Caenorhabditis elegans: one gene and its partner. The protein of the gene in region 2 purifies or fractionates together with the protein of the main gene of each other region. This does not show direct contact. Each region holds a gene or a part of one and is shown on either strand. Other genes may lie near its edges. The genes, in order: dpy-21 and dpy-26.

Region 1 (15,375 bases), on a different chromosome or scaffold from region 2:
GTGTCGTGAAATAAAAAAATTGTGTGTAATGTCACTTTTTTATTTTTATCAACTCCTTTCCCCCCAAAAACCGTCAAAACCCATCCAAAAAACGCACATCTCATTTGGTCCCAAATGCTGCTTAATTTGATTATAGTCACACGAAATGATAGTTGCCATTCCATTGGGATGCCTGCGTATTCTCACAAACTTCCTGAATCTCGACGACATTTTCGGCAGATCGAATTGACGAGTAAGCATCTTCAAATTCCGATTCGTAATCCTCATCGTTCCACCCTTTCCATGAAACTCGGCTTTTTCCGCCTCATTCTTCGATCTAACATAGTCCGGATGCGATAGTGTCTTATTATTCTTATGATTCTTCCGCTCCTTCTCATCCTCCTCAACCAACTCGATCGCACTCTTCGACATCAGTGTCGTCGGCACTCCAATCTCTCGTTGTCGCTTCACAACTGCCTTCAGAATCTCGGAACGTCTCGCCACATTCGCCTCTTCCTTCAGCTCATTCTTCCGTGCCAGATGATGCTTCAGACTCATCGATCCTCCTGCACCTTCGGATCTATGATTCGACGATACCGACTCCGCGCGTTCCGATCTCATCGGGTAAAGGATTCCGGCAAGTGTTCCATTGTTATTCGTCGGATCATCCATACTATCCTCGAGCTCTTCCTTTCCTTCAATAATGTCATGAAGTCGCTGACTCGCTTTACTCTTCACAGGTCCTAGAGTGGATACTACCGAACAATCCCTGGTGCTCATTCGGGATCTTCGTGCCTCCTCGATCTTCGCATCAAACATCGCACGCTGATCAGCAGTCATTACTCGTTCTTCAGTTGTTCCATTCCTTCTTTCAGGCTTCTCAAGTGTCGATGGCTCCACAAAGATCACCTCATCCTCCTCCGACGTATTCGGTGTATGAAGCGAAGAACTTCGCATAGAAGTCGATGGCCCAGGAGGTGTCTCACGATTCTCCACCTCCTCCGCCTTCTCATCCTTCTGCTCGACTGCGGCGGCGGCCTTCGCCGCTGCCTCCGCCTTGCGCCGCTTCGCCGCCAACTCAATCTCGATGAGCTTAAACTGAATATGATCCAGCGAGCTGTGCTCCATCATAATCTGCTTCTTCCTCGACATCAACTGCTCCACAGGCGGTGGGGTATGCGAGGTGACCGGCGCCTGCTGCGGTGGTGGTGGTGTAAGTTTCTTCTTCTCGATGCGCTGCTTCTTTCTCGGCAGGACAATCGGAGTCAGTGTTGTCTCTGGCGGTGGTGGTGGGGATGGGGATGGGCTCGGCGAGGCGCCGCGATCCTTCTTGCGACGACGTCCCGGCGTCTTTTTGGGGCGTCCGACCATTTTGAGGGCGGCCTTCGTGACTACTGGAGCTTTCTTGATCTTTTCCACCTTTTCCGGCTTCTTTGTGGAAGTGCTCGTAATCTCATCAATCGTCTCAATATCAATAATCTCATCCTCTTCCATTGATGCTGGTACTGGTGCTGTTGCTACTGGAGGTGGTGGTGGTGGTGGTGGTTCTGAAGCTCGAGGTGGTGGCGGCAACTCCGCTAGAAGCTCCAATGACGATGATCGAGAACATTCCGACAGTGGAACCCAGGGTTCCTGGGTCTCCACTACTTCTTCTACTACTTCTTCTACTACTTCTTTTGCTACAACAGGCTCTACTTCCATAGGTTCTGGCTCCACTGGTTCTGGCTCCGTTGGTTTCAGCTCCTCCGACACCACTGGCTCTGGCTGATCTTCCACTACAGGTTCCACTATGGCTTCTACTTCCACCACAGCTGGCAGTTCCTTGGGCTCCGGAGGCCCCACCATGCTCGCCGTCTTATTCTTCTTGTTTCGCCACATCGCCATCCGACCGCCCAGCGATTTTCTGTCTTTTCCTGGCGCTGGTGGTGTGGATCGTGCCATGAATTCTGCTCGATCCTCTCGGCGGGGTACAGGGCTGTGGCGGGATGATGTTGGAGGTGGTGGTGGAATGCCTGCCATGGATGCGGCACGTTCCTCCCGGCGGGGTGGTTCTTCCACAGAAACTGCCGGTGAAGGTTCAGGTATCACTGCTTCAGCAGCTGCCACCTCAGGTTCCCTGGGGGCATCCGAAGGCTTCGGCGGCTCAGCTGGCTCGCTGGGCTTCGAAACATTCAGAAGATCTGAATGCTTTGGAAGCTCGTTCCGCAGAGGTTCTGGCGGTGGAGTAGCACGCCGTGGCTCTTGCGGAGCAGCATAACCATTCTGTACAAGCTCTGAAGCCTGCTTTGACGGCTCTGGCTGAACGTTCTGCAGAGGCTCTGAAGCCTGTCTCGGCTCGTGCTGAAGAGCTTGTGCAGCAGCTAGCCTATAGCCATTCTGCGGCGGTTCGGCCTGCAGAGGTTCGGCTTGCTTGACATGATATCCATTCTGCTTGGGCTCGGGCCTTGGCTCAGGCCTTGTTTCAGGTTCCTTCGCCGCAGCAGCAGCAGCAGCCAGCACAAATGGCAGAGGCATCTCCTGCTTGAACACAAACGGCACAGCTCTGATGGTCTCTTCCACGACGACTGGCGGCTTCTTCTCGGCAGGAGGCCTCGTCACCTTCGCCGCCTCCTCGAGTATCGCCTTCTTCCTCTTCTCCGCCTCAATCTTCTGCCTCTCCCGCTCCTCCTGATGCCTTTTCGCCTTCTTCGCCGCCTTCTCCTGTTCCTCAGTCTCCTGTTGCTTCTTTCTCTTCCTCTGCATATGCTCCAGTGAGTCCGTGGATGACGTCACTGTTGCCGGGGGGCTTGGGATTTTCTCTGGAGCCTTCGTCTTCGGCGTCAGAACCGACGAGAACGATGCATCCTGAACCATCGGTGGCGATGCTGCTGCTGATGCTGCTGATGCTCTAAGATCTGGTGGCACTGGTGGAGGTGGAAGAAGTCCGCAGAACGATGAGTTGTACGATGTCGTCGGTGGAACCGGAATCGGACGAGGTCGTGGTTGTGGTGCTGGTGGATCCTTCTTCACACTCTCCACAGTTGTCTGATGAGCTCCGTTGAGCAACTCCCGAACATCCATGTTCAGTGGCTTCTTCGCGGGTGGTGGCACTGGTGGTGGTGGATGAAGGCTAAAAGATCCATTACTCTCCACACTATTGAATCGTTCTCTCGGCACTGGGGATCTCAGCATCCCGGGTGACATCGTCGACGATAGACAAGCAACTGGTGGAAGGATCGGCGGAGGTGGGATGCCTGATCCATTCCAGCTACGGATTCCGATTGGCTCTTTGGTCCTTAGATCAGGCATCGGAGGCTTCGGAGGCGGTGGAGGTAGGCGATCGCGGTAGGCAGCCGCAGCCGCCGAGGCAGTCATCACTGGTGGTTGTGGTGGTGGAATGATGGGTGCAGGTGGTTGAGTGACATAGTTCGGACGAGGTTGATAGTACGGCGATGGATTCATGTGTGGATAGTATGGGGCGCCGTTGGACATTGATGGTGGTGGTGGATGTTGGATGTAGTAGGATGGTGTCGCCGGATGTTGGGAAGGGCCTGAAAATTGGAAGCTTCTCTTTTTTTTAGGCTTGAAGGTTCTTTTTAGGCTTTAGGTTTAGGCTTGAAAAGCCTGAAGAAATCGGATTTTTCTAAGGATTTTCAGGCTCGTTAGCTGGAAATTTTCGATTTTTCGAAATTTTTTGGTCGAATAATCCAATTTTTATGACTGTAAAGGGCTTTAAAGTTGGGAAAAATCGCAGAAATGCGAATTTTTCCAACTGATTTATGACAAAAATTGAGATTTTCGGTGGTTTTTTAGCTTAAACATGAGAAAAATGTCAATTTTTCAACTAGATTTTCGGGCTTAAGCTCAATTTCAATAGTTTTAACTAGAAAAATTCTGAAAATTTCAAATTTTTAGATGAATTGTGTCAAAATCCTCAGTTTTAGAGGCTCAATTTCAGGCCGAAAAAACCAAAAAACGCCTAGTTTTCATGCTCCAAAATCGTTAAAGTACTGCAAAAATCAATAATTACCAGGAATTCCTTGTTGTGGCATCATCATCGTCGGATACGGATACGGATATCCTGTAGAGCTGCCGTATCTGAAAACATTGGGAATTTTAGAGCTCTAAATTTGAAGACCCCCAAAAAATATTGGCTTAAAATTCAAAATTTACGTGAAATTTCAAATTTTTTATGGAAAAATTTGTGAAAATTGCGGAAGAGTGGTGCTTAAAATACTTTCAGGAAAATAATTTTTGAAAAAAAATTTTTTTTTGTTGGAATTTTTGAATTTTTGAAAATTCAAAATTTAAGTGAAATTTTGGAATTTTTTTAGAAAAAAAGTATAAAAACTGCGTAAAAGAGCTTAAAAAGCATTAGAAACACCAAAAAAGACTCTACAAAAATTAATGACCACTGTCGGGGGTCGAACCCCGGACGGGTGGGTGCCAGTCGGACCGCTAACCGACTGAGCCACTTGCTCCCCAAAGCAAAAAAAATAATTTTGAACTTTTTTCAAGTTTTCGCCTAAAATTCAAATTTTCAGTGAAAATACGAAAAAAAAATTTAAGTTTTTTCGTCAAAAAAAAAACTTTTACCAAAAAAAAATTTTTTTTCGAAATTTTAAAAAAGAAAATGCTCACGTTGGATAATAGGAATATGGAGCAACAATTGGCTGCTGCTGTTGCTGCTGTTTTACAGGCTCATCCGGCGGTGGAAGAGGCGGAGTTTTAGGCCCACGGCGTGGGCGGTATTCACTATAATCATTGTCATGGCTGCTGCTCGTGTGTCCGCTGAAAATTGGGGAATTTTTTTTCAAAATAATAATTTCCAGAGATTTTCAGCTATTTTTGGGTGAAAATTGGAATTTTCTAAAGAAAAATGTCAGAAAATAGGTCAAATTTCAGCTTCAAAAATTTAGGCCAATTTTCAGCCGAAAAACCAAAAAAAAATCGCCTACTTCTGAGGTCCTTGTGGTGCTGGAACAAACGAATCATTGCTCAGTGATGAGCTCGACGAGCACGGCCTTTCGTTGGCTTCTGTGGGTTCTCCGTCCTGTAAAAATCGATTTTTTTTTGCGGTTTTATGTCGAAAATTGGGTTTTCACTGTGTTCTCAAATACAAAAATTAACAAAATTTTCGAATTTATCGTCAAATTTCAGTTCGAATGGTAATTTTTCAACAAAAAAAAATTTTTTTTTGGGTGCACAAGTGGCTCAGTCGGTTAGGGGCCCGACTGGCACCCACACGTCCGGGGTTCGACCCCCACTGTGGCTCATAATTTTTGTAGAGTTTTTTTGGCATTTCTACATCAAAACTTCGTATTTCTATCGAGATTTCCGGTGAAACTATGTTCTTTCAAGTCCAAAAGTCGTCGATTTTTAGGCATTTTTTGCTCTAAAACTGAGAAATTACGAGAATTAGAGGTTTTCGGCCTTATAAAAACTAAAATTTGGTTTCAAATTCGAAACCTACGGAAAAATTCAGATCGAATTCTTTTTTTTTTGTTGAAAAAAACAATTTTTTTTGGTGCAAAAGTGGCTCAGTCGGTTAGTGGCCCGGCTGGCACCCAAATGTTTGGGGTTCGACCCCCAGCTGTGGTCATTATTTTTTGTAGAGTGTTTTCCGTGTTTCATCACAAAATAAATTGGGTATTTGATTAGACAATCAAGTTTTTTAGACTTTTTTGACTCCAAAACTGATAAATTTCGATAATGAGAGGTTTTCAGCATTTTCCAAACTAAAATTTGATGACACATTCGAAATCTACGCAAAATTTCAAATCGATTTCAGTTTTTTTTTCGAAATTTTTTTTTGGGTGTGCAAGTTGCTCAGTCGGTTAGGGGCCCGACTGGAACCCACACCTCCGGGGTTCGACCCCCGGAAGTGGTCAAAAAAAATTTTTTCGAGCTACTTACAGGTGTTCTCGGTCCACGCGGACGTCTCGGCTCTTCAGGAGCACCAGAGTTCTGCAAAAATCGATAATTTTTTGGGATTTTTTTTCCTTCGAAACAAACCTTATCAAAAGTGGTGCTTCTCATATTTTATATCACTTTCAGACAATTTTGTTTGGAGATTTTTTTTTTTTGATGTTCTTCTTCTTAATGTGCAATCATTCTTCCTTCAAAATTGTCGTTCAAAGTGCAAAATTGTTGTTCGGTTTTGTTTTTTTTCTGTGTTGGCGCAAATTTGGGTCTGAAATTTGGAAAATTTTTTAGAGTAAATCGGAGAAGAAATGCGGAAAATCTAGGAAAATTTGAGAAAAAATAGGGATTTTTCGGTGAAAAATAGACAAATTTGGCACAATTTCGATGAAAATCCATATAAATTGAAAGAAAACGCTGGTAGCACAACTTTAACGTATTAAAATTTCCGGCCAAAAAGCTATTGCTTGCAGGAATATTCAGGAGAATCAGAATTAAAATAGATTCGAGATACATTCCATTTTAATTAAGCCTATGGCTATGACGAATTCGGAGTTAAACACGAATAAATTAAATTTTCCCAAAAAAAAAATCGATTTCTCAATTTAAAACATAGTTCTTAAACACTATAAAGGGCAATTTAATAAACTGAATTAATAACTATAGAGTTAATTAAATCATGCTCGTTATAACTTTTGATTAAAAGGATTTCTGATTTTCGTAATTTAACTAATGGGGTTATTCAAGTAATGTTGTAAAAAAATTATTAAAATACATGTTTTTATGTATTTTAATTAAGCAGCTGTGATGTCATTTTTCTACACTTTTTCAATTTTCCGCGACACTACTCGAATAATCCCATAAGCTATAATGGAGCACTTGTTTTATTCATGAAAATCTTAACTTATTGAGTTAAAAACATTATTTATGAACGCAAATTATTTTAATAACTTATTAATAATACGTCAAAGGTGAAATTAAACAAGGTAAGTTCATAAATAATAGCTATATTCGGATTTCTATATTCTATTGTTAATTTAGTTATAGTCTAATCAGAAGTAATAAGGACGGAATGCGGAAATCGCAACAAAAAAAAAAGGTTTACGAGAATTTGTGTTCTATAAACAATACGAGCATTCGGAGAGAAATATGACACTTTTTCGAAATATGCTAGGAAATTATATTTCAATATATTTAAAAGTCCTCTATAATAATAATTATTATTGATTTAATTTAATTGTACTCTATTATCAAAATATATAAACTGACATGTGAAACGTGGCTTATTTTTTATTTTTCCTTTCGTTGAAATTTTAATTTATTAGTTCATTTTAAAAAAATGGGAGGAGCTCAAATAAAAAACAAAGCAAAAAAAATAAGCCACGTTTCACATGTCAGTTTATATATTTTTGATAATAACGAAGAATTTAAATTAAATTATTAAACGTACTCATTATTAACGCACCAACTTTAAAAAGGTGGTGTAATTATATTTTTACTACGTCAAAAGTGAAGAAGCTTAATTTTTTTCTATACTAGTGTTAATTATAATAATTTCTTAATTCTAAGCTCAAAAATAATAGTTACATTCGAAATTCTTCCCAAACTATAATTTCGGTTAATCTGAGTCGATAAATGAAAAAAAAAATCGTTTAATTAAGTTACTAACGAGAATTTAAAATATTTCGCAAACTTTGCAAATTTTCTTCAAGAAAATCTGAAAAATATAGAAAAGTCTATATATCGTAAATATTAACGTGATAATGAATAGTGACAGCGGAATTATTTTTTGAACAAGACGAGGCTTTCAAATTCTTATTTTTTATAAATTAAACTTATTAGCAAAGATACTTATCACGATTTGTTAGTAACTATTTAAATTAGTAAATAAAGTAATTTTACTCATTCAATGATTAAAAGTAACTAGTAAGGAAGTATTACATTTAAATCAGCTTCTATAATAAAACATTAACGATAAACTAAAAACTAATGGGGTTATTCAAGTAATTACGTCACAACTGTATTAAAATACATAAAAGCATGTATTTTAATACAGTTTGTAACATTACTTGAAATAAACTAAACCCCATAATTTATATGATTTAAAACTAAATCTCCGCTTAAAAAACATTAATTTCTACCCATTTCAAATAAAATCGGCTTTCGAAATAAATTGAAATGAATTAACCTTAGAACTTTCTAATCAAATTGTTTGCTCTTTCTAAACTATATATTCAACTAAACCACAAAAAAACGATCACGATATAATCGTTATCACTATCGATAGCGATGGTGCACAAAAAAAATTCAAAATCCAAATAAAAAACCACCCCCGGCGGTAAACGCGAAGAAGAAGAAAAAAGGGGGCCTTCGTCAGCACATCGCCGTGCAGAGAGTATCGAGAGACATAGAGAGTGTGTGTGTGTGTGTGTGTGTATGCGTGAGAAACAAGAAGGACACGCGACGCGACCGCGTCGCTCCGGCTGGCTGGCCGGGAGAGAGGACGAGAGGGTCGAGGCGAAAGGGGAAAGCGCACTTGCACCAAACATCACGGGCCGTGAGGCGGCGGCGGGGAGAGATAGAGAAGGAAAAGAAGCAGAGAGAACAGAGGAGATGGAAGAACTTTCGCGAAGGGCTTCAGCTCTTCCACGGGTAATGTCAGCTTGTCCCATTGACCTCTGGAAAGTAGATCGCCACGTGGTTTTGATGCTATGACGTCATTATTTTCAATAGCAAATGCACTACATTGCATTTGTTGTCCCCACTTCAACGAGTTTAAAGGGAGGCGCATTTATACAGTTTCGGTGTAAAATGAGCGTAGATCACTGTATATTTATCACTTATTTCGTATTTCTGTTGTTTTTTCATAGATTATTTGTGATCTACGCAAATTGTACACCGCAACTGTATAAATCTCCGTTTAAACTCGTAGAAGTGGAAAAACAAATGCACTGTAAATAAAAATCTGTGACGTCAGATTTTAAGGTCAACCAAAGAAGCTTCAAACTTTGGTTAACTGTAAAGCCGGAGAGCTTGAATGCTCCAGCCCTTGCTTTCTATGCCCAAACTTCTGAAACAACGACGAAACGTGAGGAGGTGGTGTGTGTGTGCACTGAGCCCCAGTTGTCATTTCTCGTTGCTAAGGGCAGAGGAGCCGTCGACGCCGCTTGATAAGAGCAGCTCGCGGAGCCCGCTCCAACATCCTTTTGTTGTCAGAATGAGGACGTACTGGGCGTGAGAGAAACAGAAAAAGGTTGCTCACGGAGCCTGACTTTCTGGCAACTCAGGGAGCCTTTTCAGAAGACCACAAGAAGCCAGGAGCCCGGTGGATATTTACTCAGGCTTATCAGAGAGCTAGTTCTAGCCAAGTGTAGAGAAGCTCACGGAGACCTATCTCAATAGGCTCGAGTATTGAGCCGAGTACTCGAAGCAGCTCAGGATCTATGCCCTGGTAGCCGGCTAGCCTGAGAGCCGGTGAGCTTAAAGCTCAACTCAAGACTAGCGCGGAGCGCTGGGCTCACAGAGCCCTGCAATCACTGTTAGAGAGGACATGTGTGGGGTTAGAAGAGAGCCGGTGATAATAAGAAGACGTGCTCACGGAGCCCCACGCAGGTTGAGGACACAGCAGATGGGTTGTCAGAAGTAAGAGAGGAAGAGTGCGGGTGCTCATGGAGCTCACAAGAGGCTCCGTGCTCATTTTTGGGATAGTATACAGATTGCGGAAGTTGGAGTTCTGACGGAGGATTTTCAGCGACTTTTCAGGGGGCAGAGTTATCACGGAGCAGCTGTCGGCTCACGGAGCTCGCAGCAGATTTTCGGGCAATTTTTAGCCTTAAAAAATGGGCCGCAGAAGAGTTATTGGAAGAAATTGGAAGGACTTGCTCGCCGAGCACAACTGGAGAAGCTTAGCCAAATTTTTTTTCACAAAAAAATTCTAAAAAAGCCAATTTTTTTGTAAATTCTCAGACAGAATTATAATGCTTCAAATTTCTTTTAAAAAAGATGAATATCTATACAATTTTCAATTTTTTAGAAAAAATTCAAAAAAGTCAATTTTTTTAGTGAAGCAACCTAAAATTTTCAAAAATAAATTATTAAATTGAATTTTTTCGGAAAATATTTTCAGCTTTATCAGAAAAAATCCAAAAAAAGTCAATTTTTTCCGAAAAAAATTGTAATAAACCAAATAAATATGGAAAAAAAGTTTTTTCGAATAAATTCGAATTTTTTTCCAGAAAAAAACACAAAAAAGTCAAATTTTTGTGTAAAATACCATTAAAATTTTAAAATTTTCACAAAAAAATCCAAAAAAAGTAATTTGTAAAAGATTATTCATTAAATTTAATTTTTTTCGGGAAAACCTTTAAAATTTAAATTTTTTAGAAAAAAATGTCGAATTTCAAATTTTCTTGAATTAATTTTTTTGGGAAAAATCTTTTACAAAATTCAAATTTTTTCGGAAAAATTTTAAAAAAGTGAGTTTTTTATTAAAATATCTTAAAAGTTTCAATTTTTCAGAAAAAAAACTGAAATTTCAAATTTTTGAAAAACTCGGGAAAAACCATACAATTTCCAAAATTTTCAGCGAAAAAACCAAAAAAAAAATTTTTTACGTAAAACACAAATTTTTCAATTTTTTAGAAAAAAATTTTTCGAATTTCAAATTTTCTTAAAATAAATTTTTGGGAAAAATCATAAAATTTTCATAAAAAATTGAAATTTTAGTCCTAAAATTTACAAAAAAATCAAAATAAAACCTTCGAGAAATCCAAATAGAAAACTCAAAAAATCAGTTAAAAAACGAAAAAAAAATCGCTAAAAATTATTAAAAATCCATTTTATAAAGAAAAGAAAAAGAAAATAAAATTCTCATAAATTTTTGGAAAAAAGCGAAAAATTGGGGGGGGGGGGAACAGTTTTGGTATTTGTCATCTAAAAATCAATAAATCAAGCGAAAAAAAAGGCGGGGGAGGGGGGGGGGGGAAATTTTTTACAAGAAAACTTTTTCTCAGAAAAAATCGAAAATCACTTTTTTTGTGTGTGTTTGCGGGGGCGGTGTGGAAGGCGGAGCAAATGTAAAATCAATAAAAATTCAGAGTTATCTATATTTTACAACAGAAAAAAAAACACAAAAAAATTTTTAAAAATAAGGCGGGGGGGGGGGGGGGAGCTCGGCGGAAAATTCAAAAAAAGAAAAGAAAAAAATCGTTTAGTCGAGCAGCGAAATTTGGGCGAATCCGGTCAATGTCCGCTCGTCGGGGATCTGGAAAAAAATTTATAAAATAAAAAAAAATTTATAAAATATAAAATTTATAAAAAAGAAAATCTTTTTTTTTTTGGAAAATATTTCAAATTTTTGAAAAATAAATTATTTAATTTAATTTAATTTTTTTCGGGAAAAATCATAAAAAAATTGTAATAAAAAAAAAATTTCTCGAAAAATTTGAAAATATTCGACGAAAATTTCGATTTTTCCGTAAAAATTTCAATAAAAAATTTTTTTTCTGAAACTGTTCAGATATTTGGCCAAAATTTCAACTTTTTGGAGGGAAAAAAGTGGAAAAAATTGAAAAAAAAAATTTTTTGAAATAAAAAAACGTCAAAAAATTAGCAAATATTGCTTTTTTTTAGAAATTCGGCAAAAATTCACACTTTTCGAAAAAAAAATCAAAAAAAATAACTTTTTTCCCAGAAAATTCAAAAAAATATCGATTTTTCAAAAAAAATTCGTCAAAAATTCAATTTTTTATTTCAAAAAATTCAATATCTTTTTGGAATAAATTAACAAATTTCAAACAAACTTATTCTTCAATTTTTTAAATTTTTTTTTGAGAAAAAAAATTCAAAAAGCCTAATTTTTGGAAAATATCTTAAAATGTTCAATTTTTTCAGAAAAATTTCACAGAAAATTTTCAAATTTATCACAAAAAATCCAAAAAAAAAAGATCTAATTTTTTTAAATTAAAAAATTTACCTCATTAGCGTGTACTCCAGAATTCAATGCAAACGTTATCGACCGTCTATCAGACTTTGATTCAGCAAAATCGATAAGCTTCTGAAGGTTGGCAGCGACAATTACCAAATCGTGACAGTCGATGAGTTCAGCGGTCACTAGTTCGTGAGCAATTCCTTCAACTGAAAAAGAAACGAGAAATCGATAAATTACCATCTAATAAGGGGTTATTCAACTAATATTGCAAAATGTATTTAAATACTTATAGACTATTTGGGTCTACTGAACTACAAACTATTAGGTCTCCAAATAAGTTCCGAGTCAAAAATCATAACTTTGTTCGTTGCGTATCGATTTTTATGAAACTGTGGGAATTTATGTTATCAACGATGATCTTTCATTTGACAATAGTCACAAAATTTTTTGACCGTCCGAAGTGCCCTAACTCAGAGCCAATTTTTCAGACATTTTTCAGATCTCGCTTTTTTTAACCTTTGAATTGAGGTTTGTGTGAGGATTTTGCTTTGTTTAGAATACATTATTAGAAAACGACAAAAGTTTGGAAAAAAATCCGTCCAAAAAATTTTTTTTTGGTTGGTCGTCAAAAAATCTTCAAAAAAAATTTTTGTCGAAAATTCTTGATTTTTTATACAAAAATGATGTAACCATGTGCAAACTATTTTTAAACATACAAAACATTTGAGTATGAAATTTGGATCTCGAGAAATACTCAAAAAACTCGAAAATAATTCGAAAAAGCTGTGTTTTCTGTTATTATTTTAGTTTAATGGTTTTATTTCAAAATAAGACAAAACCCATTAAAAATGTTCAAAAAAATAAAATAAAAATTACTTCAAAAAGTCGGTAAAATTTGAAAAAAATGTAATTTTCAGTTCAATAATTGAATAAATTTCTATTTTTCAGAACACATGATTCCATTATTGTCGGAGCAAAAACCTATGTTCGAAAAATGTGAAAAATTAGATTTCTCAACACAAAACACCTAAAAATTCGCAAAAAATCTAAATTTTCTGAAATAATTACTGAAAAACCTCAACTTTCAGCAAAAATCGCTAAAAAATTGGAAAAAAATTGCAAAATTTTAAAAAAACATTATTGAAAAAGTCGTTAAAAATTCTCAAAAAACAGAATTTTTCCACAAAAATCGTCGTTCCAAAACTCAGTTTTCTGTCAAATTTCCCTCTGGCTTCTCTGGCTTCACAGTATATTTTACTCTCTGGCTTCACAGTATATTTTACTTTTAGTAAAATATTCCGTACCAGTATCAGCCGACTTTGTATAGTCAAACTTGATATCATTGAGCTCTCGCTGTTGATTCCGAACTCTGAGCACCATATTCAACGTCTCTGGACACGGAGTGGTGGCTCCTCCACCTTCCTGAGCACTTGGAGCACCACTTGCTGCTCCTCCAGTGGCTCCTCCAGCAGCTCCAGCTGCTCCAGCTCCTGATGCTGAAGCACTAGCCTTCTTCTTCTTCTTTTCACGTTCCTCATCCTCCAAATCACTATCATCATCACTTTCTTGTGGTGAGTCGTATTCAAATTCCCAATTTCCGTGAGCATCTTTACGCAACTTTCCAGAAGCCACTTTTTTCGACGAGTGATGGGCGACTACTGGAACTGAAGCGAGATTCTCAATGAGAGTATGTACCAGATATTTCTTGTCTTTTCCTTTTTTGAAGAACGAATATTTCAAGAGTTCGGAGGCTGTTGGACGCTTTGCTGGGTCTTTCTGAAATTAGAATTGATAGAATCGGTGGCAAACCGGGGCAAACCGGCAAAATGCCCGACTTGAAAATTTCCGGCAAATTGCCGTTTTTCGAGTTTCCGGCAAATTCGTCAAATCGGCAAATTGGTGATATTGCCGAAAGTCTGGCAAATATCTGGCAAATTGCAGTTTTCGAGTTTCCGGCAAATTCGTCAAATCGGCAAATTGGTGATATTGCCGAAAATTCTGAAAACTGGCAAAATGCCCGACTTGAAAATTTACGGCAAATTGCCGTTTTCGAGTTTCCGGCAAATTCGTCAAATCGGCAAATTGGTGATATTGCCGAAAATTCTGAAAACTGGCAAAATGCCCGACTTGAAAATTTACGGCAAACTGCCGTTTTCGAGTTTCCGGCAAATTCGTCAAATCGGCAAATTGGTGATATTGCCGAAAATTCTGAAAACCGGCAATTTGCCCATCTGTCCAATTTGCCGGAAAAGAGGCAATTGTCGGAATTGAGAATTTCCGGCAAATTCGGCAAAGCGGCAAAATGCCCGAATTGAAAATTTCAGCCAAAGTAGGCATATTGCCGTTTTTAAATTTCCGGCAAATCGTCAACTTGCCGGAATTTTAAATTTCCGGCAAATTGTAGTTTTGCACCTTTTTTTTGTTGGTAATTTCAATTTTAATCGACAAAATTGCACGCATCCTAAACTTTTCGGCAATTTGCCGGTTTGCCGAAAATGAAAATTTCTGGCAAATTCTCTAAATTGTCGATTTGCCGGAAATCCTCTATTCCCGTAATTGGATAAAATTGCCAAAAATTCTGAAAACCGGCAATTTGCCGGAATTGAAAATTGCCCGGAAAATCACCGAAAATGAAAATTTCCGGCAAATCGCTAACTTGCCGGAATTGTAAATTTCCGGCAAATCGCCAACTTGCCGGAATTGAAAATATCCGGCAAATCGGCAACTTGCCGGAATTGTAAATTTCCGGTAAATCGCCAAATTGCCGGAATTGAAAATATCCGGCAAATCGCCAACTTGCCGGAATTGAAAATATCCGGCAAATCGCCAACTTGCCGGAATTGAAAATATCCGGCAAATCGGCAACTTGCCGGAATTGTAAATTTCCGGTAAATCGCCAAATTGCCGGAATTGAAAATTGCCCGGAAAATCACCGAAAATGAAAATTTCCGGCAAATCGGAAAATTGCCGGAATTGTAAATTTCCGGCAAATCGCCAACTTGCCGGAATTGAAAATATCCGGCAAATCGGCAAATTGCCGGAATTGTAAATTTCCGGCAAATCACCAACTTGCCGGAATTGAAAATATCCGGCAAATCGGCAAATTGCCGGAATTGTAAATTTCCGGCAAATCACCAACTTGCCGGAATTGAAAATATCCGGCAAATCGGCAAATTGCCGGAATTGTAAATTTCCGGCGAATCGCCAAATTGCCGAAAATTAAAAAAAATTGCCGGTTTGCCGATTTTGCCGAAAACTTTCGGCGTTTGCCTTTTTTCCAGGCAATTTGGAAATTTTGCCGGAATTTAAAATTTCCGAAAATGAAAACATTTCCGGCAATAAGGATTATGTTATATGTTATATAAACTTGTGTAAAACACATAATTTTAACCACTTTTTCTCTTCAATTGCCGAACACACAAATTTACCTGCAAACAATCGCGAATCAGTGTCTTAAACGATTTTCCATAAGCCTTATATTGATCTTTTCTCTCAGCATTAGTCTCAAGTGTTGGTGGATCATTTTGAAGTGTTAGCATAAGGACTTTCATTGGTGGATATTTATG
Region 2 (15,375 bases):
TCTAGGTAATAAGTCAATATAAATTAATAGGTATTTCACAGGTATAAACCAGTTATGATGCAAGAGAAAACTTCAATTAAAATGAAAAAAGGTTCATTTAAAAAAATTTTAAAAAACTAAAAAACAAATTTTAAAAACAAATGATTACAACTAATTTTCTTCTTTTAAACTTTTTTCTTTATGCTAGTCAACCATCTAGGTACATTTCTATTGTTCGGGCTCTCTTCCTTCACATTTCCCAAAACTCGTGCACTTTTACTCAATAATCGATAATCCATTCCATAATCTGCTTCACGGAATAACTTGTCCATTTCCTGTTCCATCAACAATGCTTTATCCCCGATAAACTTCACTTCAGGACACGTAATTCCAATGGATTCCTCCACTCGTCGTCTTATCTGGTGTTTCGACTCTTCCAGAAAATCAACAATTTCCGAATCTCCATCACCTCGACACATCCAATAAACGGACACTTGTGTGAAAGCTCGATCAACTCGTACTCGAGTAATTTGAAGTTGTAATCGCCCGAGCATTTCATCTGTTGCGACGACTTCGGCGATTCGTTCCTCAAGGATTCTGCTCAGCTGAACAACTTTTTTGTCGTCTAAACGTCGTTGTTTTGTTCCGAGAGAGACGAGTAGAAGTCGATCTTCAAGTCCCATATCGATACCGTATCTCATGCCCATCGTTTTTTGGAAGTTTTTGCCCAATGTCTGAAATTTCTTGTTGTTGGGATGAGAAAACTGGTGGAGCCATGATCATTATTACCAGAGGTCTCGACACGAATTTCTGTAAAATATAAAAAGACATGCGTCTTTAAAGAGTACTGTAACTTTCTCGTTGCGAAAAAAAATACTTTTTTTTGATATCAAGAAGAAATCCAAAAATACAAAATATTTTGATAATTGTTGGAATGTTGAAGAAAAATATGTCATTTTCGATTTTTCGCCTCTAGAAAATTTCGAAAAAAATTGAATTCCGAAAAAGCAGCCTACATTTTAAAATCTTTTTCGTTATAGAAGAAAACTTAACGGTTTCTTGTAATTTTTCTCAAAAAAAAACACAAAATTTGATAAAAATGTTGACATTTTTTGTTAATTTAAATTGACAAAAAATTAATTTTCGATTTCTAATTTTTTTCCCGAAAAATCAAAAATGTTTTCAATTTATTTATCATTGATTTTCTAAAGTTTTTCTCTCATTTCGTTGAGCTCGCGGTTACGGTACCCTTTAAAGGCGCAGACCCTTTCGCATTTAGACAAAAATTGTCGTTTCGAGACCGGGTACTGTATTTTTTGCGCGAAAATCGCAAAATTTCGCGCCTGGGTAATAAACGAAAGTTGAATTTATATTTTTCAATCTAATTTCCAAAGAACCTTATCATATCTCCACTCGAATCTTGAAAGAACCGAATTTCCACATCCACGTCCCGTTTTTCGATTCACATAATTTCTGGGTCCCTTCAGAGCCGCCGTGCTAGTGGTAATCCATCGGATCCCGTTTCTATACATCTGAATTCGTAATTTTTATGGAATCAGTGAATGCTTTTTCGGAAGAATCAGAAAGGGTCTTTGTATCCCTAGAATTCTACAAGTTTTATGGCTCGAATATCATATTGAATATTCATTGTAAAGAGTGATTTGACAGAAAACTTAAAATTTTTGGTGTCGGGGTACTCAATTCAGAGAGAGAAAAATAAATAAAGAAACTTCGAGTTTCGAGAAATGAGAGATAAAATGAATAAATACATCGAATTGGGTGGATTCTGAGATTCAATTTTGATACCGAAAATAAATGATTTTTTATGGAGAAATTTAATAAAGTATGCTTATTCTTCCATTTCTTCTTCTTCTACGATTGCTCCGAGATCACTTGTTGTAGGTTGACCACCTGCTCCACGACCTTTACGAACTGGTACTGCCTTCGGACGTCGCATCAAATTCGAGAACACATTATTCGCATCGCTAGCCGTACCCTCGATGGCGTCCGGATCTTGAGTTCGTTTCCAGAACTCGTCTTGATCCTCGATTCTTCCCATTTTCAGACCACGTGGTAGGCTTTCACTTGAATTGAGAACAATGAAATCAGACATCCAGGATCGCTTTGATCGATCTTGAACAATTTGCAAGTTCTGAAAATTTAGAATGAGTTTGAAAAAATAAACTCAAAAAAACTAAACATACATTTTCATTGGCAATATGCAATAGGAAGCTGACGATAGACGAGGGCCTAACAGTCTCTCCCATTCTGGAAGGCATTGAAAGTGCCAACGAAAGAAGTGTATGGCATCCATTTATATGCACTTTTCTATTTTCAGTGTTAGCAGTTCCATATGTAGATGTAGTTGGTTGATTATTGGGACGCTCATCTGCTGCTTGATAATCTGGCATCTCTGTTAGTGCCTTCATCGTTTCGTTCACATCGTGATTCGATTTGTTCGGTGATCTATAGTCAAACACTGACGTCAACGTTTTGTCGGCCTCCATTGTCGGTGTTGCAGGTCTTCCGGTTTCATTACGATCATCGGCAGCTCGGATAGTTGTATTATTCATTCGTAGAGTCTGATTAGATGTCAACTGCTCCAGAACATATTGAATTGAAGGCATCGATAGACTATCAGTCTTCAGAATTTCAGCGAGACACTTCTTGTGCTTGGCGGCGTCAAGATTCTTTGCCTGGATCGACTGGCGATCGAATGACTGAAAATTATACAAACTTTTTTAATATAAATTTTTTGTTAAACTTACATCGTCAAATTCATCATCTGAATCTCCGTATTCACCACCGTATCGTTTGGAATGGATATTCGGGAACATTTGATTAATGTGACTTGCGGTCAAGGCTAGTTTCCTCTGAAAATGTTCAATGAGCACTGGAAAAAATATTCCGTCTTAATTTTACCTGCATATCCGGACCCATTTGTGCAGCAGCGAGTTGTTGTTCATAGTTTGGATCGTATCTGTCTTCGTCCTGTAATTAGATGCCGAATTATTTTGTAGTTTTCTCTCCGAAAATACGGTATCAAGGTCTCGAAAAGACGCATTTTTTGCAAAATTTTTGTTGATTTTTCAATAAATAAAATTTATTTATTAAAATCTGTAAATACACTAAAAAGGAATTGTTTTCTCGTGCTTTATTTCAATTTTTAATTAAAAAATCTGTTTTATAGAAAAATCACCGAAAACATCGCATCAACGATAGTCTAAAACTACAGTACTCTTTAAAGGCGCACACTCGGCTTCATTATAAAAAATTGTCGTGTCGAGACCGGGTACTGTATTTTTTGTTCTAAAGTCGCAACATTTCGCGTCTGAGCTATTTAACGGTATCGATCGTCGAAAACTTTTGGACTTTTGAACGAGCTTTTTTTAACTGGAAAAATCAACAACGAAAATTTTTCGATTCTCGATTATTCAGAAAACCGACAGGAAAACCGGCAGGTCTTAACAGAAACGTACGTAATAATCGTTGGCAAAATCGTCATCAAACGGTTGCTCTACGGCAGTTCGTAGATTCTCGTCCGAGTCAGAGCCAGTGATAGGCTCCGGATTTCTGAAAAATTAACAATTTTATATATATTTAATCCTAGACACTCACTCCATGCACCTGAATCCACTGAATGAAAGTAGCCAATTGAGACAATCCGAATCCTTGTTTCCTCTGGCTTCATCAATGAACAAATCTTGCTCAGCCTTTTGATTTTTGACACGTTCGAGTCGTATTTTCCCATATGATTTCTTGAAGAACATCCCGCTGTTACCGAGAAGACCCATTTCAAAAGCGACATGCGGCTTGTTTTCAATTCCCAAAGTTGGAAGATATAACTGTTGTTCCGAAAGGAAAGTGCTCTTCTCATCAGCAATTTTAGAGCATTTTGCAGCAGTAATTTCTCGTTCAATCTCGTCATCAGGAATGTCACGGAAGTAATGAACGAAATCTTCGACAGTGGCTTTTCTGCTCTTCGCTTTCTTTTCTCGCCGTTTCCGTTGTGCTGTAACCGCTGCTTGTCTCTCTTGATCACCAACGACTGGTGGAACCCAATGAGCATTGTCGTTCTTTCCGATATTTTGAATCTCTTCACGCATTTCTGCAGATGGTCCAACAAGTTGTGGCGGTGGTGCAGAAGTCATCAACTCTGCAACTTCATCGGCTGCAAGTGCAATGTCCTCAAGCTCCCGTTGAACATCTTGCTCATTTCGTTCTTCTACTTCAGTTCTGAAATTGAAAAAAAATGTGGATAGTCTTTTCAAAAATGTTGAATCTAGCGTTTTTCAAAGGTAAAATTATAAAAAAGCAAAGAGTATCCAATTAATATTGCCGGAAACTCAAAATGTCGAAAATAGGGGAAGCGCGGGAATTCAGAAAAGATTTAACTTTTTTTGCAAAATTGTTGAAGAAATCTCAAAATAGTTGTGGTTATTCATTACTCATGTGATGTAGAAAATTTTTTAAAAAATGTATTTTTATACATTTTCCCCCCTATTCGTCTAGTTTTTGTATTTTTTTGCATTTTTCGACACTCATGAATAGGTGAGAATGGATAAAAATAAATTTTTGCATTTATCTACATTAAATGAATAACGGTTTTTTTTGCTATATTGAAACGTTCTTCTGTCATTATAGGCAACAAAAAACCGAACAGAATCAACTTTCAATTCAAAATTGAAACTTACTCATCCATCTGCTCATTAAAAAGAATATCAGCCACCCTTCCATCATTTCTATTATTATCTCCTTCCATTTCCTCAACTTCAACCGGAGCTGCAAGTCGATCATCAAAGTCTACATCAAAAGCAGCACCGCCGGCATCGTAATCCATTTCCTCAATAGGCTCCATATCAACATCTTGTTGTTGCACTTGTTCCCGTATTTCTTGTTGAATTTGTTCTAACGGAACATCATCTTCAGCTGTACTATCCTCACCAGACCACATTTTCATCACATCAGACACTTCATCATTCACTGTGAAGTCTGCTGGACGATCTCCAGGATAGTTATTCATATAATCATCCGATTTCACCAAGAACAAATTCTTTCCAATTTCCGGAACCATATTTCTATACGATTCTTGCTCGTCAATCGCATTTTCATCCAATTGAGAACGAGCTTCTCGATTTACATTCATTTTTACAACATCATAGTTGGTCCATGCATCAGTTGCCTTAATCCAACCTTCGATTCCAGCCTGACGTGGATGTTTCGTGTCATTCTTCATAATTGCCTCATCATCTTCACCCCATTCTTCTGCACGTATTCCATTTTTCCAGACTTTTGATTCAAGTGTATCAGATGTGTTGAACACTTCCAGCTTCTTATCAAACATGTTGGCTAATGTTTGATCCATTTCATTCGGCTCAATTGGCAGTTTTCCAATGAGATGCTCATCGAGATCATTCTGGAAAATAATTTATATCATAAATGTATTCAGAGGCGCGCAAAAAAACTTACAGCTTCAAGAGGTGGAAGAACATATTCGTCACTCGCTTTCTGTGACACAGACGACTGAAGAGGAGGTGTAAGCCTATCTAGAGCGATCGTCTCATCGTTTTCTCCCTGGGCGAGTGGTAATCCTTGATTTCCTGGAAGCATTGACATATCCGATGCTCCTGCCACCGTCATATCCAGATTTGAAGGCCGATGATTCATCTCTGCGAATGTCAAGTTGGCGAGATCTTTCTCACGAGACGATTCCGCCAATGGTAGCGTTGACTTCTTCACATCCTTTGACATTATTTTGTATCTCCCAATAACTGGGCGATCTTTGACTTCGAGCATCAAGTAGTTGTCGAGAATTCGTGGCTTTTTGTCTAATGAATTGGTGAGGAGAGCTCGTGTATTTTTTACAAGTGAGACAGACACATCGGACGTGAAAAACCGATCATCAGCATTCTTATCGGCAATTCGATTATGCAACATAAGAGTTCGTCCATCGGGAGAATGAATTCCATAATAATTAAGAGAATGGAACGAGTTTGATGAATTGCACACGGATCCTTTCGTTGCCTTTTGAAATGTCGGGTTAGCTCTCAGCCAATCGATATTTGCGTCTTTCAGATCATGAGCCGTATCATCAGCACTTATGTAATTGGAAACATCAGAGAGAAGGTCAGCTCTGAGATCAGTTGCTCGTTTGATTGACAATGCATAAATGAGTTTTTCGGGGAAAATGTCTCTTTGAAGAAATGCGTCAACATCTTTGGAATTGGCTTTGAAATCAATTCGTGGCTCTCCGGCAATATTTTCCTCATCTTCTTTCCAATTCTTATCATTGTCTGCGTCAAGTTCGGTGGTTGTCAGAGCATCATCCATATTATTGAGAAAATCGAGCATTCCATTCATTCCGTCAACAACAGCCATTTTCTTTTTAGCTTTTCTGCTTTCCAGTGTTAAATGAATTTCTTCACCATTTGAATCTCGCATAACAGTTCCTGTAATAAAAAGAAACGATAAATTCCAAGAATATTAAAAAAAAAATGTAATTACCACTCGAGAGAGCTGAATCAATTTGTCGAACGTCGTGGTGAAGCCGATCGACTCGATAACCAATAATGCACTGAGCTCCTTCGAGCACAACTGCCATCTCTTGGATTGAAGCTTTTGCTTTGATCATATCTTCGATTGTATGAATTTCAAGCGGCGATTTATATTCGAAACAGTTGAGCTCTCCAACTTTTTTCTTATTCACAATATCGTCGATATGGGCGCCAATTTTTGTCATAATTGTTTCTGGCACCACATCCGCTGGCCTAATTTTTTTAGTTCCTCGAACTTTACGCAATGGGGTAGATCTGAAGCCATCATCTTCGTCATCATCTAGAACTTGTCTCTGAAAACATTACGTTTTTGGTAGAAGCAGAACATTCTTCTTTTTTTACTTTTCTGCGTCCAGTGACGTTGCTGGATGATGGTACATCCATTTCCCTGTAATTAAAACACAATTTTAGATAATAGAAAGCAGGAGAAAATAAAATATATTCAAACAAGAAGCACAATTCAATTCAAAAGTCCTCGTTGCTAAACAAAGGGTCGAAGGGAGACCGGAGTTTCGTAATGATGTTTAGTCGTCTGCGACTCTTGTCTCTCGTTGTCAACGCGGGAACGAGGCAGTTCGCACACTGAGAATCCAAAGAGAATGTAAAAAATTCACAAATTGATTGAAATTGTTATGAAGTAAATATATATTTAAAAAGAAAGTTTTTCTGATGCCTTCGACCGATCGATAAAGCTACAGTTCAATTAAAGGGACACATACAGAAAATATCTGTTCGTGGCGAGACCCTACAGTAATAAAAATATTCGCGAATGAAGATTTATGCTTTTGTGCGAATTTAATTCTCAATTGTTTACTTATGAGCGGAGTATTATCTCTCTCAAGAACAAAATCCGCTAGCAGATGATTAGCACAAATTCTATTCATCTGAAAACCGATTGTGCCCTTCTGAAAGCTTGTTGTTTGCTCAATGATATATTTTCGTCTCTATCTCTTTGTTGCCATGACACTTTGATGAGTATTCGTGTGAAACTCATTTTTTGGAATCAAGTCGACGCAATCAATAATGTTGTTGATGAAGGCGTCTTAATTCCAAAAGAATGAGGTTGAAAATTGAATATAAAAAAAATAAACATAAATTAAAAGATATTCCAGTATTACGTTGTGACGAGTAAGAGTTTGTAAAACATGAATAGAAATTTCAAATGAACACGATTTCATTATAAAGGCATGAAACATTCTAGAAGAACTACAAACAATTTTCACCGGTATGTTGAGGGGGGAAAGCTCACAAGTAAGCAGTGGGCTATTCCACTGGATCAGAATTTAATTATATTCTATAAAACATGAAGTTCTAAAATACATACGAAAAAATGCACACACTATTTGTGCGTTTGTGGATTAAATCCGTAATTGTTTAATTATTGAATATGACTAGGTCCTGGAAGACATTCAGATTCTGGATAATCGTCGTACTTGCAAACATCAATAAGTTCCTCAACCTTCTCTTCTGTAAATTCTCGAGCAGTGTGAAGACTCTCTTGACTTGAAGATGATGTTCTCGGCTGATATTTGACACTGTGCTCCTCGGCCAAAGTTGATTGAATATCGTTAAACATTTCGTCATGTTTCCGCTGTTGGTAAGCGTTTCGTTCAATCGATTGAACACGATGAACAACGACAGGTGGAATTCCGAGAGCGAATGCAGTACGAGTGAGCATGTTGGCAGTGGTGGGAGTGACAGGATTATCCATAACGGATTGTTTCAGATTGATTGCACTGACAATGATGTCGTCGCAGAAATGACCGATAACACCGGTTTGTTGCATTTGAGACCAGAAATTCATAGGATCTGAAATAAAAATAAATTAGTGATAAATGTTATGTCAAATAGCTTACCGTTCTGCAGACAATTGAGAATATCATTGAATGGCGTGCACTCATTGGATTCCTTATTTGAAGAAGTTGGCTCTTCATTAGATGACATTGATTGCAGTGGTGGCGCATCAATGAAGAACTCCTCGAAGAAACGATCGTCTTGTGGCTCCATTTTGACCATTTGTCTGGGCTTGTTGACACTTCCACGTGGACGTCCACGAGCTTTTTTGGCGCCTGAAAAATGATATGTTTCCAGAATACTGGTAGTTATACAAAAGGAGCTAGTTTTAGAATGTTCTAGCAATATAGAATAATGTTTCCTTTATCTGAAAAAACTTATATTTAAGTTGGAATAGTTGAAAAGATGCTCACAAATCTCAAACTTTGAGACAATATTTGAGCACTTTTCCGATTGTTCCAACTAAAATATAAGTTATTTTTAGACATAACAAATATTATTCCTAAATTTTAATGAAAAATATTGAGAGAACATGTCAAAACTAGATCCTTTTGTAGAATTATCGGTCGTACTCTTTCTATTATCATCATTATCCGCCTCTTTTCCAGCCATCTCATTTTCGATCTCATATTTAAGTTGTCCGGCTTCAGATGTTCTCTTGGACTTCCGAGCTTGAAGCACCTCTTCAGATGGAGCATTCACATAATTTCTGCTTTGACACTTTCCACTGCATCGATTCATATGCTCGTAGAAGTCGATGGTCATTGCTTCCATGTGAGTTCTAGAATATAAAGTTTTGAGAAACAGAAGTATTTTAAGGGATTATTGTCTTGATGCTCACCTCAACGAAGATCTTCCAACACGGATGCTCGCCTTCCAATCTTTCTGACGCTCTTTGTCGCCACGGATTGTGAACTGCTTCGGAGAAAGAAGATCGTCTGAAAATAATTATATTATGAGACCCATTTTAAATTATCTGAAATAAATAAAATAACGAACTTCCCACTTCAATACACGGCTGATGAATCCCAGGGCACATGAACAGGTTGAGATGCATCTTTCCATTCACGACACCACAGGAAACTGGCACAGTCGGTGACGCATCTCCTTCGGGAATTGTGATCTGCAGTGGTGTTATAGGGCGCGGAAAATCGTCGTTTGCCGGATGCTGTAAAAATATGAATTATTAAAGCGATGTAATTATGAAAAAGTAGCTGAAACTCACTCCATACAAAATTTGATAAACATTCCTTTGACTCTCTTGGAATGGAGTCATCGTGGAATGATGATGATCAGATCCTTCGGCTTGAAATCCATCACATGATCCAGAAATCGGATGAGACGGCAACACGGAAGCAGCGCTCACGTCTCCACCGAACATTTTGACGTTGCTTTGCAATCCGAATAAAACCGTGAGTCGGGCGGGCCGTTGCAAAGTTCGCCACGTTTCACGTTAACACGTAAAGATTTCCGCGTCATTCTTTTTTTCATCTTTTTGGTACCACTTCCGATAAGCTGAAATTTCTTATTATTTTCGTTGGCAGATAAATAATGAATTTTTTGTTTTAAGAATATTTATTCAAGAGAAATGGTTTCAAAACGGGAAGAATCCAACTTTTCAGAGAGTTTTCTTTAATTTTTTACAACAAAAACACAATTTTCACACTAAACAACAGTTATTTAAATTAAAAATCACAAGTTGAACACTTTAAACGCGAAAAATAGTGAAAAAGTTCATAAAAAAGCAAAAGTGTGAAAATAATTGCAGAACAGAATTTTCTACAGTAACCTTAAAGGCGCACATACGAAATCGCGCGGCGCGTGGCGACACCATTTTACGATATTGGTCCTCCCTTGAACCTTCTGAAATCAGAAAGTTTTACAGTAATTGTAACATCACAAGATAGGAAAAAATGAAGAAAATAAAAAATAAAAAAGTCAAGAATTTTAGGATTGCAATTCAAAGGTTTTTACCGATCTTTTTAAAAAATAATGAGAATTTTGTTACTAACTATGATCTTTCATTTGATAGTATTAGTCATTAAAAAAAAACACACAGATCACCTTAAGTTTAAGAATACAATGAAAAATTAAGCAAAAAAATTCGTTGAAAACATTTTTTAATGCTCGTAAAATTGCTCCAAGGTTGATTTTGCCTTTTACATTTAATGATTTCAAATTTTGTAGAGGTCAATGTTTTTATGAGAGACTCGTAGGGACGGATTTTTTTTATTTGAAAGTTCAGATAGTTGAAAATATTTTTTTATATTTTTTTTTGTTAGAAACAAAAAATAATATTTTTACTTTAAAATAGAGTTTTTTAGACGAAAAAGTGATTACGTGACATGACCTTTGGGCCTTGTTTTTTATGGCCTAATTAATTCAGCATAAAAGGTCCAGATTTCGTCAGTTTTGTTCATATTTCGTCCGAAATCTTGAATCAATCGTCTTTTGAATCGCCAAAGCAGCCAAGAAGCAAAGGAGCAGAAGCATGGGTTCCGAGAAGATGATCGAGATCTGTATCGATATGGAAGAAGGAGAACCACTTGGTGCAACTCCGAATGACAAGCTTGTCATCACTAAAATCCAGGCTGGAACTATTTCCGAAGGAAAGTTGAGAGTAAGTTCTACAAAAGTTTAACCATTATTCTATGAAAAGTTTTATAGATTGGTGACCAAGTCAAAAAAGTCAACGGGCAAAACTGCAAAGATTGCAATGACTTTTTCCGTGCACTTCGCTTTGCAGCTCCATGTGCAAAAATTATGGTGAACCGCGATGAGAAGAAGGCCGAAGAGTTGGAGGCTCGTGTTCATATTCCTGAAGATCGTGCAAAGATCATTCAACGCCGTGAAGGATACGTCTATGAGTTGGCAACTCTTGTTTGGGTTCAAAATGGACCAAAACTTGGTTTGGGAATCAAGCATTTCCAGGTAAGAAATCAATCAAATCAAATAAATTCTAGGAAATTCATATATCTATTTCAGAATCGTGTGCTTGTCTCCCGTGTTGATCCTGGATCACTCGCCGAAAAGTGTCTCGTTCTTGGAGATCACTTGTGTGATGTTGATGGTATTCCAGTCAGTGACAAGGATGTTGCCAGAGACCTTCTCGTCAAGAACATTCAAGAAAAGGGAAAAGTCACTTTCGTCGTCGAGCGTCCCGATTCGATTGATGCCAAGCAATGGGCAAAGCAGGCATTGGCAACCAATCTTATGCAGCCACCATCTGTGCAAATGAACGAGGATGTGAAGGGCATTGCGTCTCAATACCGTCAAGCTCTTCCAGGATTGAAGCCTCCAGCAAAGAGTGCTATGTCTACTGGTCCAAGCGCTCGTCGCGTTTCAATTGTCGAGCAAACTCAAACACATGAAATCGGGCATGATCATGAGGGAAAAGCTCTTCGCAAGGTCAAGTGATGTGCCAGCAAGATGCCAGAAATCGCAACGTCTAGCTCGAATAAAAATTTTGTTTGAATCGCTTCTGCTGATTTATTTTGTTTTATATGTTCGAATACAGATAGTTTTTTGGGTATGTGAAACGCCCACAAAATGGCTCCTTTTAGGCAGGAGTGGTCAAAATACTACCGTATTGCAGACGATTTTTGTTTGAAAGTTGTTTGAATTTCTGAAAAAGGCAGAATGTGGTTACAGCAAGTCTCTATTAATATCAGCTCGTTTACTCCACGTGTTCCTCGTTTACCAAAAGCCCTGACCATGTTTTAGTGGCCCAGAAGAAAGTCTAGTTCTGGCTTACCGTAGCCTTAACAAGAGTTGAAAAGCCATAACTTTTGATGGCATAGGAAGTACCCACAACACTGAGCCTCTCGCAAACAACTTGCTTTGCTCCACCTTCAACGCTTTCATTTTGAGAAGCTTTTGATTGCAAAATAAATGGTAATAAATTGTTTTTTTTTGACATTTTTTTGTTGAAAAAACAATTTATATTAACTTCTTGAACCCATAATAAAATCAGCAATGTTAAAGGCCTTCCTATGCCTAGTTTCTGCATTTCTGCGCCAAATTTGGTGTCTGTGTCTTGACAGATAAATACATGGTGCATCGTGCAAAGATTCACCTACTGGCAGGTAACATGCCATTGCAACTAATCTAAATTATCTTATTAACAAACTTTCATTCAACTTTTGAATAAAAAAACGTGATGATCTCACGTTTTCAAAAAACATTCTAGTGCTTATCGTGATTTTCTCGATTATTCCTAGCTATTTACAATATTTCTTCCAACTTTCGTGCCTCAAATCATGAGCAAACCTGGTTAGTTTTGAACGCTTTTTAATGAAATTTTTGAAACTTTTTTTCAGAAAGTGTTCAAGAATCCCTTGATACAATCACATTTATTCACTCTTTTCAAATTACGACCACCAAGGTTGAGCATATGAAGCCGAAACGTTTTACCACGGTCCATCAGTACTCGCTGATTAATTGGTAGGTGATCTCACAGTTCTAGGGGATAGAGAAAAGGGGAGATGGAGATATGTGGGAACTGAAATTTAGTTTCACTCCCCCAGTCTCCCCAAGTGCCTACCTCATGTCTAACGTCTATTCACTTTGTCAGCAAAGAAGCAGTAAAAATTCATTTCGATTCCAGGGATATCGAAATATCGGTATCCCAAATACTTCAAGAACATCCCCAAAACCCTGAAGAACCGGTCGTCGAGAAGGTTTTTCGAATCAGTCTTTATCCAGCCGGACAACATCCTCTTCCTGTGCAGAAAGTGGAGTTCAAGTTAAGATTGGTTGACAATTCTGATGGAGATAATAGTGCGCTTTTGAAATAGTTTCCCAATTGCTTTTACAGACATCCTGCCACCTGTAAAATTCACCTATGAGCCTGACATCACGGACCGTGACGATTTCGACTGCATTACACCGGAACGTGGCGTGATTCGAGACTTTTTGTGCGAGGTGATCGGAAATCGGCAATTCAAGAAATACAAATTGGAAATTCTCACTGTTATCGTATTTGATATCAACAACTTTTTGAGCCTGAAATACTTCAATCGATTTGTTGGAAAACCGATGCCAGTCGAATTGGATTTCAAATATTATCTGTTGATGAATCAGTGAGTATTTTTGTAAGATTTCATATGAAGCCTAAGTCAATCGCATTCCAGAAAGACTCACAACTTCCTTCTCACCACCACTACTCAACAAGGATTCCCGTGCAATAAAGAAGCTCTATACGTGGCTTCTCCATATTTTCGCAACCATCTCACAAGTTCCATAACCAGTTTTCCACTGGAGGTACAATTCTTGGAAGCTATTGAAGTGGTTGGTTCTTATTATTTCTCTTATTCTGTGACGAAAATTCTTAAGGTTGTTACCTGGAAGATTGTGACACGTAAACACAAACAGAGACAGCTCATCGGGTCGATTGAAAGTCACTGCTTTGAGGAGCTGATTAAGGCAAGTTACAGTACCTCATGAGACCTGTAACACTGTTGTTTTTGCAGAACTGTGAGGACTTGGATTATGTGGAGAAGTTGCTCTTTATGGCTCACACTAATTATCTCGGACGTCTTCTCGAAGCCTGCAACGCCACTATTATCAGTTTTCATTTTGCGGATCTTTGCAGGGACATCCAACAAAATGTAAGTTATCACAGCAAAGAATTCCACATGTTTGCCTAATTTTTCTACACATTATTTTATGGCCGGACCCTGCGTTCGTTCAACAGGGTCAAGGGAAGCGCTTCAGTCTTATGGTATCAATTTTTAGAATTTGTGACAAGACTCAAAGTATTTCATTTCCAGAAACGCCTTAATGATCGTTACGTGAAGAGTCTCAACGTGAGAAGTTTCATGAGAAAAGTGCCGCCGGTGGTTATTGCCAATCAAGGATAACAGCTGAACTTTTACTTGTGATGTGAATAAATATTTTGTATTTGAATGTTTCCAATGATTCTAGTCTAATTGTGACGTCACTCTCTCTTCCACATTCTTCTACAGTTCCGGCGTTTTGTTTTCGACCGGCTACCTACTTGCCAGTTGTCGGCAGCTTCTCGATTTCTCTTTTTCTACTAATAGCCCGCTACTCACCCGGCGATGAAAAAAGTGTTGTAACTGATAAAGTTCCAACACACCCACATAAACTTTACATAAACTTTAAAATTTTGAAAATCTTTCTGTCAACGTTTATTTCAATGTTTAAAGGTAGAGTATCGCCAGTGGGGGATTTTGTTTAAATACACATATAAAGATCCAAAACAACCAAATATCATAAAAAACACTCCAAAAATGTTTAGTTTTTTCATAATTTCCAGTAGAAGTTTTGGAACATTGCCAAAATTTTGAAAGATATGAGGTTTTGAAGAAATCCAAACCAATGTCGCAGGTGCCAACCCTTACAATGTTTTAATACGAATAATTAAAACAAAATTACAGTATACAAATGTAGGAAAAATTTTTTTTGGTCGACCTCCAAAATTATGAGTGGCAAAAACTGAGTAATTGTCACTTTTTGACAGTAAATAAAAAATTTTCAAAAAATTTCTCGAAAATTTTATTATGATATTCGGTCATTTTGGCATAATTTTGGGTGTGGTTTTTAAAATTTCCCTCTTGGCGCCACTCTACCTTTAATGGTGTAGAACAGTTAGCGGCTTGCAAATAATATTCCCAACATTCAAATGTCATTTGGCTCCGCCTCTTCTAATTCTTTCAGTTTTCAAACAATTTTTCTCATTGCCATCCAATCTCCAGTTCACAAGTCCCAAAAGAGGCAAAACATGGACTTCTTTTGTTTTTCGTTTGTTTCCACACAGTGATAACACTAGTCTTAGCATTTTCTAGACAAATCAAATGTTTTCCAGCAATCTCGATTCGCCATAAATTTGAACAAAGACAAGTAAATTATCTAGCTGATTTTGATGTTTGTTTCAAGTTTTCTTCAAAAAAATGCAGAATTGTTTTTTCATTTTCAGTTTCTGTATAAATTTTCGGCGAAAAACAATTTTTAAATTTTCGAACCAAGGAATTTGGACCAAAGAAATTGTTTTATTGGAAAAACGAGCCCGAGAAGTGTCGACCAC

The links.
Region 1: the proteins of dpy-26 (region 2) and dpy-21 purify together in Caenorhabditis elegans (affinity purification with western blotting, with the first as the bait; one study listed by BioGRID). This does not show direct contact.

The regions. Positions count from the first base shown.
Region 1 is NC_003283.11:17,943,032-17,958,406, forward strand, and holds the start of dpy-21 (Lysine-specific demethylase 9), read right to left. Parts: upstream 6,163-15,375; 5' UTR 5,998-6,162; coding exon 5,974-5,997; intron 5,926-5,973; coding exon 5,875-5,925; intron 5,012-5,874; coding exon 4,917-5,011; intron 4,750-4,916; coding exon 4,600-4,749; intron 4,057-4,599; coding exon 3,989-4,056; intron 3,510-3,988; coding exon 98-3,509; intron 1-97. Other genes in the region: Y59A8B.24 (uncharacterized protein), read left to right, coding at 8,918-9,118; gck-3 (Germinal center kinase 3), read right to left, coding at 11,090-11,143, 11,855-12,015, 13,114-13,585, 15,238-15,375. UniProt on the Caenorhabditis elegans protein: Histone demethylase that specifically demethylates dimethylated 'Lys-20' of histone H4 (H4K20me2), thereby modulating the chromosome architecture. Promotes chromatin compaction by converting H4k20me2 to H4K20me1 leading to transcriptional repression.
Region 2 is NC_003282.8:12,444,374-12,459,748, forward strand, and holds dpy-26 (Condensin complex subunit dpy-26), read right to left. Parts: upstream 6,963-15,375; 5' UTR 6,918-6,962; coding exon 6,876-6,917; intron 6,827-6,875; coding exon 6,484-6,826; intron 6,429-6,483; coding exon 5,449-6,428; intron 5,396-5,448; coding exon 4,674-5,395; intron 4,216-4,673; coding exon 3,598-4,215; intron 3,553-3,597; coding exon 3,459-3,552; intron 2,971-3,458; coding exon 2,902-2,970; intron 2,853-2,901; coding exon 2,748-2,852; intron 2,700-2,747; coding exon 2,184-2,699; intron 2,132-2,183; coding exon 1,829-2,131; 3' UTR 1,512-1,828; downstream 1-1,511. Other genes in the region: C25G4.3 (Ribosome-binding factor A), read right to left, coding at 165-713, 1,377-1,511; Transcription regulator spe-44, read right to left, coding at 7,912-8,342, 8,390-8,602, 8,900-9,108, 9,169-9,265, 9,327-9,495, 9,553-9,708; smz-1 (PDZ domain-containing protein), read left to right, coding at 10,819-10,947, 10,995-11,258, 11,313-11,744; C25G4.7 (uncharacterized protein), read left to right, coding at 12,587-12,599, 12,647-12,774. UniProt on the Caenorhabditis elegans protein: Required for both chromosome condensation and segregation and for X-chromosome dosage compensation depending on its binding partners.